Linked DNA regions of Canis lupus familiaris. The protein of the gene in region 2 binds, or shares a complex with, the protein of the main gene of each other region. Links are inferred from orthologs where the notes say so. Each region holds a gene or a part of one and is shown on either strand. Other genes may lie near its edges.

Evidence for each region.
Region 1: PIGC (region 2) and PIGY share a complex: the UniProt entries of both Homo sapiens proteins name them as parts of the glycosylphosphatidylinositol-N-acetylglucosaminyltransferase (GPI-GnT) complex. The link is inferred for Canis lupus familiaris from reciprocal best matches to the Homo sapiens genes PIGC and PIGY.

What each region holds. Positions count from the first base shown.
Region 1 is NC_049253.1:28,141,974-28,146,149, reverse strand, and holds the start of PIGY (phosphatidylinositol N-acetylglucosaminyltransferase subunit Y), read right to left. Parts: upstream 2,801-4,176; 5' UTR 2,713-2,800; coding exon of another isoform or gene 2,510-2,712; intron 341-2,509; coding exon of another isoform or gene 199-340; 5' UTR 106-198; coding exon 1-105. Other genes in the region: PYURF (protein preY, mitochondrial), read right to left, coding at 199-340, 2,510-2,712. UniProt on the Homo sapiens protein: Part of the glycosylphosphatidylinositol-N-acetylglucosaminyltransferase (GPI-GnT) complex that catalyzes the transfer of N-acetylglucosamine from UDP-N-acetylglucosamine to phosphatidylinositol and participates in the first step of GPI biosynthesis.
Region 2 is NC_049228.1:26,429,952-26,434,177, reverse strand, and holds the start of PIGC (phosphatidylinositol N-acetylglucosaminyltransferase subunit C), read right to left. Parts: upstream 2,801-4,226; 5' UTR 2,679-2,800; exon of another isoform or gene 2,606-2,678; intron 2,348-2,605; exon of another isoform or gene 2,170-2,347; intron 2,033-2,169; exon of another isoform or gene 1,972-2,032; intron 1,412-1,971; exon of another isoform or gene 1,380-1,411; 5' UTR 1,162-1,379; coding exon 268-1,161; 3' UTR 1-267. Other genes in the region: C7H1orf105 (uncharacterized protein C1orf105 homolog), read left to right, coding at 3,758-3,843. UniProt on the Homo sapiens protein: Part of the glycosylphosphatidylinositol-N-acetylglucosaminyltransferase (GPI-GnT) complex that catalyzes the transfer of N-acetylglucosamine from UDP-N-acetylglucosamine to phosphatidylinositol and participates in the first step of GPI biosynthesis.

The DNA of each region.
Region 1 (4,176 bases), on a different chromosome or scaffold from region 2:
AGTGCAGCCCTGTGGAAAGTTTTCCTCCACAGAAGCTGAGTAGAACAGTCCTGCTAAAGAGACCAATGGAATAAGGACAGTCAACGTAGGAAGAGACAGAAACATTCTTCTCCCCCGCTTATTACCTGCCACTCTGACTTTTAAAAAATTAAGTAGTATTAAGAAAATGCAGTTGTAGGCGTTGCTTTTAATTGTGATCTAGTGCTGCTCCGTTTCTTCTTGCTTCTTATTCTGATGTGTCATCCTAGCTGCCTGTGGTATCATATTAGGAATCCCATCAATAATTGGATAGGCTATTCCCAACTCTTCATTAATCAATTCATTTGTCGATGCTTCATATCTGAGGGGGGAAAAGAAAAACAAAATGAATTGTGGAAAATAAAATGCTTAGAAGTGCGTGGTCTTCAATAAACACCACCATTTATCCAATTCTTGACAGAGAGTTAAATTCCAAAAAAGTAGAATTAAACTGCTTCTAGGGTTGCCTGGGTGGCTCAGCAGTTTGGTGCCGTCTTCAGCCCAGGGCATGATTCTGGGGTCCCGGGATCCAGTCCCACATCGGGCTCCCTGCATGGAGCCTGCTTCTCAACCTCTGCCTGTGTCTCTGGCTCTCTGTAGGTCTCTCATGAATAAATAAGATCTTTAAAAAAATAAAAAACTGCTTCTAATTCTAAAAACAGTATTAGCCAACTGAAACATTTCTCTTAGAAAATGAATCTCTAATTGTTTGCATTTTGGTCAGTTTCTCTTGTATTTTTTCATTTTATTCTCGAGCTACACCTTAATATGTATTTTTAAAATCCAGTTAGAAGATCTTCCCTTTTCATCAAAATATTCCTTCCTAACTCTGGTCAACCCCAAAACCATCCCAGTTAATTTACTACTGAAACAGCCACTAGAGGAAAATTAAAATTCCCCACTATTTTAGAATGCACGCTTAACACAGCAACCTAATTGAACCACTGGAAGGAAACCACTGAAAATCAAGATATACAAAATAAAAGTTTGAGGAGGAGAGAGCAGAAACGAGGAAACTGAAAACAGTGCATCTGCAGCTAGTTACACAACTAAACGGTAGATCAAATGGTCATTTCAAGGTATAAGAAAATTGAGTGGGGATCCCTGGGTGGCGCAGCGGTTTAGCGCCTGCCTTTGGCCCAGGGCGCCATCCTGGAGACCCGGGATCAAATCCCACGTCGGGCTCCCGGTGCATGGAGCCTGCTTCTCCCTCTGCCTGTGTCTCTGCGCCTCTCTCTCTCTCTCTGTGTGTGTGTAACTATCATAAATAAATAAAAATTAAAAAAAAAAAAAAAGAAAATTGAGTGTCTTCATTATGGGAAAACATCTCGTTAAGAGAAACGTAGAAAGATTGAAAAAAAAAAAATGACTAGCAATCCACCACCCAAAATAACCACTGATAACAGTCTGGTGCAAAACTAGTGTTGTCAATGTTCAGTTTTAGTAGCCTGGGGGTGCAGAGTTCTTTTAAAAAAAAAAAAATTTAAACTCGGGCAGCCCCGGTGGCGCAGCGGTTTAGCGCCGCCTTCGGCCCAGGGCGTGATCCTGGAGACCCGGGATCGAGTCCCACGTCGGGCTCCCAGTGCATGGAGCCTGCTTCTCCCTCTGCCTGTGTCTCTGCCTCTCTCTCTGTGTGTGTCTCATGAATAAATAAAATCTTTCCTCATTTGATTAACATACAGTGTATAATTAGTTCAGAGATAGAGTTTAGTGCTTCATCAGTGGAACCTAACACCCAGTGCCCATGACATCAAGTGCCCTCCTTAATGCCCGTCACCGGTCACCCATCCCCCCACCCCCAGCAACCCTCCGTCGGTCTCCTAGAGTTGGTCTCCCTCTCTGATTCCGTCTCCTTCTATTTCCCCTCCCTGAGCTGTTTTCCCTAAGGATTCCAGGGAGACAGACCCTACGACTCTGCAAAACCCAGCCCGTCCAGAACTAAGAGCCAAAGGCGCAGCAGCGCACGCAGCTTAAAAGTGTTTAAGGCCGTCACGCATCAGCTGTAGATTTCCATAAGAATTTTTAGTCATTTTTCACCATCTTGGCTTAAAAACCTCACACCCACGGGCCAGTCCCGACTCCCAACAGTTCCTAAACCTGGCGGCGCGCGAGAACCACTTAGGTCCTTTTAAGAAAACGCCTCGCGCTAGTCCGGCCCCCAGCCCGGCTGACTGGGTCGGTCGGCGCCGGCGCACCCGAATCGGCATTTAAAAAAAAAAAAAAAAAAAAGTTCCCCCGGCGAGGCGACCGCGCGGCCAGCGCGGAACCTTCCAAGGCTTCCAGCCGCGCCTCGGCGGTGGGATCCGAGCGGCCCGGGATCGGCTCGCGCCCGCCTCCCCCCTCCCCCGCCCTTCCCGCCGCAGTGGGCGGAGCCTGGTAGCCGCAGGGCCCGGGGCCACAAAATGGCTGCGGGCAACCCCGGCCCGAGCCGAAGGGCTCCCCAGGGCCGTGAGCGGCCGCGCGAACCGAGGCCGGCCGCCGGGAATCTCACCTGAGCGGCTTCTTGGAGAGCGGGCACACCAGGAACTCGAGCAGCGCCGGGTCGAAGGCGCGGGGCGGGCCTCCCGTCCTCTCGCTCTTGTCTGAGGGCCGCCGCGACCCCGACGCGTGAAGGCGCCTGCGGGCGACCGCGAACGACGGCCCGCGCGGCCCCCGCAGTGCTGAGGCGAGCCGGCCGCACGCTCCGCTCAGCATGGTCTGGCAGCCCGCACCCGCCGCCCTGCCAGCGCCCGGCCGCTTCAGCCGCTTCCGCCGCTTCAGCCGCTCCCCGCGCAGCCGGCCCCGCCGCCCGCCAGGCCCCGCCCCCGGTGCTGCGGGAATGCGGTCCCCGGGCGGGCGGGCAGGAGGCAGCCCTTGGGTTCCGGGGGCGCTGCTGACGCGACTGCTTCTTCCCGCCCACCGCTCGGTAGTTACGGCGGGGCCCGTAGCCGCGGGGCTCCAGTGGCTGTTCGCCGCGTTTACCGATGACTGACAAAGCCAGGGCTTGAATTGGGGGCATTTTGGGTTTTCACCAGGGCTCATCGCAGGGGAGCCAGGAAGCCGGTGGCCGGATCTCAGAGTCCCACAGGGTTAAGCTTGCACCTACGTGGTCATCTCCAGAATGAGGTTTCGAACACGTATTGGGTATCTTAAAAGCATGGATTTGTTTTATGTAAATTACCATAGCACCTGTAACCTTTCCCCCCTCCCCGCCCTTTTCTTATTAAATGAAAACTTGAGGGGCCCCTGGGTGGCTCAGTGGATGAGCGTCTGCCTTCGGCTGAGGTCGTGATCCCAAGGTCAGGGGGTAGAGTCTAGCTCAGGCCTGACCCCGGGTCCTGGGATCGAGTCCCGCATCAGGCTCCGCGCGGGGCGCCTGCTTCTCCCTCTGCCCGTGTCTCGGCCTCTCTCTCTCTCTGTGTGTCTCTCATGAATAAATACATAAAATCTTAAAACACACACACACACACACACAAAGAAACTTTAGAGCCTGAAAAGAATAGCATAGGCCTCTTAACCTCCCAGAAGTCCAGCTTCTACTGTGAATTCAACTGCATCATAAAGCGCAGCCAGTTTATAAATGAGCTGGTGACAGCAAGGAGTCTGAGCAACTGTGCAACCAAGCGGGTGGATGTACCTTAGTTGGATGGCAAATCCGCTCAGTGGATTTTCCGCGCCAGGTTTGCATCTGGTGCTCTAGGGAAGTGGTCTCAGGCTTGATCTCTTTCTTACCATGAAGGAAGGGTTGGGCTCTGGGGCCTGGCAGCTCGGTTTCTGGTCCGTGCTTTACTAGCTGTGTAAGTCCAGCCAACGACTTACCCAGTTTCTTTTTTTTTTTTTTTAATTTTTTTAAATTAATTTATTTATTTATGATAGTCATCAGCGAGAGAGAGAGAGAGAGGAGAGAGAGAGGCAGAGACACAGGCAGAGGGAGAAGCAGGCTCCATGCACCGGGAGCCCGATGTGGGATTCGATCCCGGGTCTCCAGGATCGCGCCCTGGGCCAAAGGCAGGCGCCAAACCGCTGCGCCACCCAGGGATCCCCCCACTCAGTTTCTTTATTGTATGATAAGATAATGGCACCTACCTCATGAAATCTCCTTGTGGGCATTCAAATGGGATCTTGCAGGCAAAGAATATTTAGAAGAGTGATCCGGACAATTAACAATTGAGTTAATGC
Region 2 (4,226 bases):
AATAAATAGAAGCCACACCACTTCATTTGTTACAGCAAATGAGAGGCAAGAATTGAGGAGGGCCCCAGAAAGCATTTTCATCCACAAAATAACAGAAAGGACAAGCATCTTCACCACCCATGCCTTTGGTTAGTTCTTTCTTTTGACTGCTGTTCCCCTACCCCCACATCAGTATGTTGTTTCCAGGATGGGACTGTCTTCGAGTCTTCTACTAGTTGGGAGGCTAGTCTATCAGCTTGCCTTAATAACAGAATGGAAGTCTCTAACTTAGCTGAGAAACCTGGACAGGTCTTCTTTGATTTCAGCCTCATCCCAAGGCCCATGAATGTTTTCTTTAAAAAGCTGCAGGCGAATGAGGTAGAAAGGGCAGAGACAAGAGATGGAAACCAGCAGAATGGCAAAGAGGATGGCTCCCACAGCACTAATGGACAGTAAACCTCCCAAGGCTGAAAATGCGAAAAGCAACGTGACTCCCACGTAGCTGCATGGAGTACATGCCTTCAGTTTCTTCTGTAACATGGGCCACAGGGCAAAAATCTGGATGGCAAATGTCACCATGATGAAAGCATGCAGGGACCGGGGCAGGCGCGACGCCAGGCAGACAGAGGCAAAAATGGCCATGTTCAAGGACAGTGTGCTGGATACAATGGCAGCGTTGGCGCCATAGTCAAAGAAAATGAGGTGGCCCAAGAGCATAAAGACTGACATGGCATAGATGGTATCGGTGCTGACAGACTCTGTCAGGGTCTTCAGCACTGGCGAAAAACCATATGTGAAAGTAATGAAAACGAGGGCACTCTTCAAGTCAGCCCACCGGGTCCGCCCGCTCTTTTTCCGTCCTTCGCCTCCATCGATGAGATCAAACAAAACATAGCCAATCAGTGAAGAAGCCAGGCCAGTCCCAAAAAGCCAGTGGGGCGCCAGGAGGCCCTCATCCATGTACCACCAGATAACCACAAAAACACAAACGCTGCACAGCTGCTGTACCACCACACTGGACTCAAATACCACAGCCCAGTACTGGTACTTCCGGGCGTAGATGTTTTTCCGGAGCTCTTCCAGGAAACGCCGGTCCACATAGTTATCAGGAAAGGGCTGCCGCTCATACAAGACCTTCTGCCACTTGATCTCCTTTGTGTCAGTTACAGGTTGGGCACACATTATCCCCTCCTTCAAATTCAGGCCAGTTTGAGCTCCCTTCCAGAAGTCCAGGTGGTTCTTGTTCTTTACACAGTTTTGCAATAAGACCTCTCTGGAAGTTCCATGCTGTGTTGCGGTTCAAAGTGTACCGACCTTCCCTTGCTTTCAAAGGCAGCAACCCGGACGAGGCCTCAACTCGAAGAGTTTGTTCCCGGAGGCAGGATGATGCAGCCAAGTTCCTGGAAAATGAGAGACTATGAACCTAGGAAAGCTGTCAAAGGTCAAGGGAAGGACTGAGTTAAAAATCAAACTAATTCAGTTTATTAAAAGTCTGAGCAAAAATACATGCGGTGGCTGTTTTATAATTATGGACGTTAACACTTCACATCAGATTTTAATTATAATCCCACAGATAACAACAGACATCTGTCAGCTATTACTCTCTGAGCGCCTACTATGTGCCAGGTGCCTTCTGGAGCTTCTTTCGTTTAATCCTCTCCTTTCAAATCAGCATTAGCTCCACTTTAATCAGTAAAAATACCTGAGATTCAGATTGCTCAGACAACTTTAGCCCAAATTAACAGTGGCGCCAAATTCAGGCCCACGTCTTTCCCCGGAAGCCTGAGCCTCACGTCATGTCTCCCTCAGGGGTTCACACATCCCTGAGGTCTGTGGATGGGCTCCAGAGCATCCAAAACACTCTCCCTGTCACCATATCCTTGTGGCTGCAATTAGTGCAAATTTCGAGGGATAGGATCCGGAGCTTTTATTGATGGAGACCTCAAAGGCATTATACCAAAAAAGGAGAAAAAAAAAAAAAGAAAAAGGTACCAGTGACGCCTGGGTGGCTCAGCGGTTGAGCGTCTGCCTTTGGCTCAGGTCGTGATCCCGGGGTCCCGGGATCGAGTCCCGCATCGGGCCCCTGGTAGGGAGCCTGCTTCTCCCTCTGCCTGTGTCTCTGCCTCTCTCTGTTTCTCATGAATAAATAAATCTTAAAAAAAAAATAAGAAGAAGAAGAAGAAAAGGTACCAGTCTAAAGACAACAGTAAACCGCACAATACAAAAAGGCACGAGCTCCCGGTTTAGAATCTCAAGGGTCTTCACCCACGAACCTCGCGAGCTTAACCTCCTTTAAAGAGCTCGCGTCCTGGCGGGAAACTCTCGCGAGGCCCGCGGACGACGACCCCTTCTCCACAAGGAAACCTGAAGGAGGCAGAAGGACCCGAGTCCTCCCTCCAGCAAGCCCGGGAAGGCGACTCCTACTGCCCGACCTGACTCCCTCCACGGAGACCACGGCGAGTTGGGCTGCACCGGCCAGACGCCCTGGAGCCCCGTTGGCGGCCGCAGGGCCCCCAGCCCAGCGCGCTCCCGCCGTCGCCCAGGGCAACGCCCCGCCCCCCCCCCCCGCGGGGTCGGCCAGGTGTCCCCGGGGACGCCCCACTCCCCCTCCGCGGCCGCCGCTCACCGGCCTTGCGCCTGCGCGGGCGTGGCGGAGGACAAGGAGGCCCGGAAACGCGGACGCCCGCCCGAGGACCCACCTGCCCGCAGCTCCCGGGGCTCTGCGGCCGGACGGAGGCGGCCGCCCACTTCCGCTCCCATCCGGGGCTCCGCGGCGCTCGCGACGCCGGCCGAGCACTTCCGGGTCCGCCCCCCCCGCGGCGAGAGCGCCTTTCCCCGGCCGGCGGAACTGCGGGGGTCGCTGCTGCCCCCTGCCGGCGACCCGCGGAACTCCCGGCTCCTCTCCCGAGGACGCGCCGCTCGGAGCCTAGGAAAAAGCAAGCGCCGCAACGAAAGGCTGGATTATTTGGGATCCGAACGCCGGGGGACAGAGGCTGGGCTGGTAAAGAGAGACTGTAGAGCCGACTCTTAGGCGCTCCTGTTACTCAGTCAGGCCCTCAACTGGGGACTTGCCACGCATCCGTGCATTCGCTGGACAGGTATTCGGAGAGCACCTGCGAGCACTGTCCTAGGGGGGCTCTTGACACCACAGTGAGTGGAACCGAAAATCCCTGCTCTCCTGCAGCTCTCTGTCTTGTGCGTTGACCTGGAAAGTGATGATATCTTCCCAAGAGGACAAAACCGAGGCTCAGAGACCTTGTGAGCTGTCCCAAAGCCACCAGCTGGAAAGTGGATTAACAGATTAACGTGCCATGTCCGCGGCTTCAGCGTGTTGTTCATTCCTCTTTGGTGCCTGGAAGGAATCGGGAGCGGAGGGCCCTGCGGCTGAAAACAGTCTGGGACTGAACGGGAGGCTGCTGATAATTCAGCCGGCTGCATAGGTGCACCAACAGATGGAAGTAATAAAGAAGCAAAGGGATAGGTAGAGTAGAAGGCCAGGTATAGAGGGCACGAAAGTCAGAAAACCTGAATCCACCTATGAGCCGTGTGACTTGGCAAATCACAACGCCTGAGCTCTGATTTCTTCATCTGTAAAGTGGAGATAACACTGTTTGCTCTTGGATCCTTTATAGGAGACTCAAAAGGCCCTCGTCATAAAAATGTTTTGTAAAGTGCTGACTTTTATATAGCTGCCATTAGCTCACTTTGGTTATTGTTTTGATGGCAATGTTCAAATGCAATAAGTTCCACGGAATGATCTCTTTCCATTTCTTTCCAGGTTTCTGTTCCGAAATTTGGCAAGATTCCTTGGCTTAGCGAGGCCAGCCTCATAAACAAGCCATTAGTGCTCAGCCTCCCCAAAAGGTAAATCACTCAGTCACTGAAGCCAAAGGTTTCGAGAAAGATGTCACAGAAGATGGTTTCTGGGGCAGTTATCAGAGGGGCAAATCTGGTCAGTTGAGAAACTCAAGATGAGTGCTCAAAGCCCAGAAATGGCCTGGGTTTCTCAGACAAAAGCAGGCACTGAGTATAGGCTTGGCAGGGGGGAGGAGATCTCAATGAACCTCCCTCTCTACAACCACCACTCAACAATACAAAAGAATTTTGCCCCTGGATGCTACCTCTCCGAACACTTCCATCCTCCTCTACATCTTACTTTTTCTCCTCTGCTTTAATTTGAAATTTTCTCATTTTAACCATCAAAAGTCTAGACCCATAAATGGCAATCTTTAGAGAGGAGCGACTGC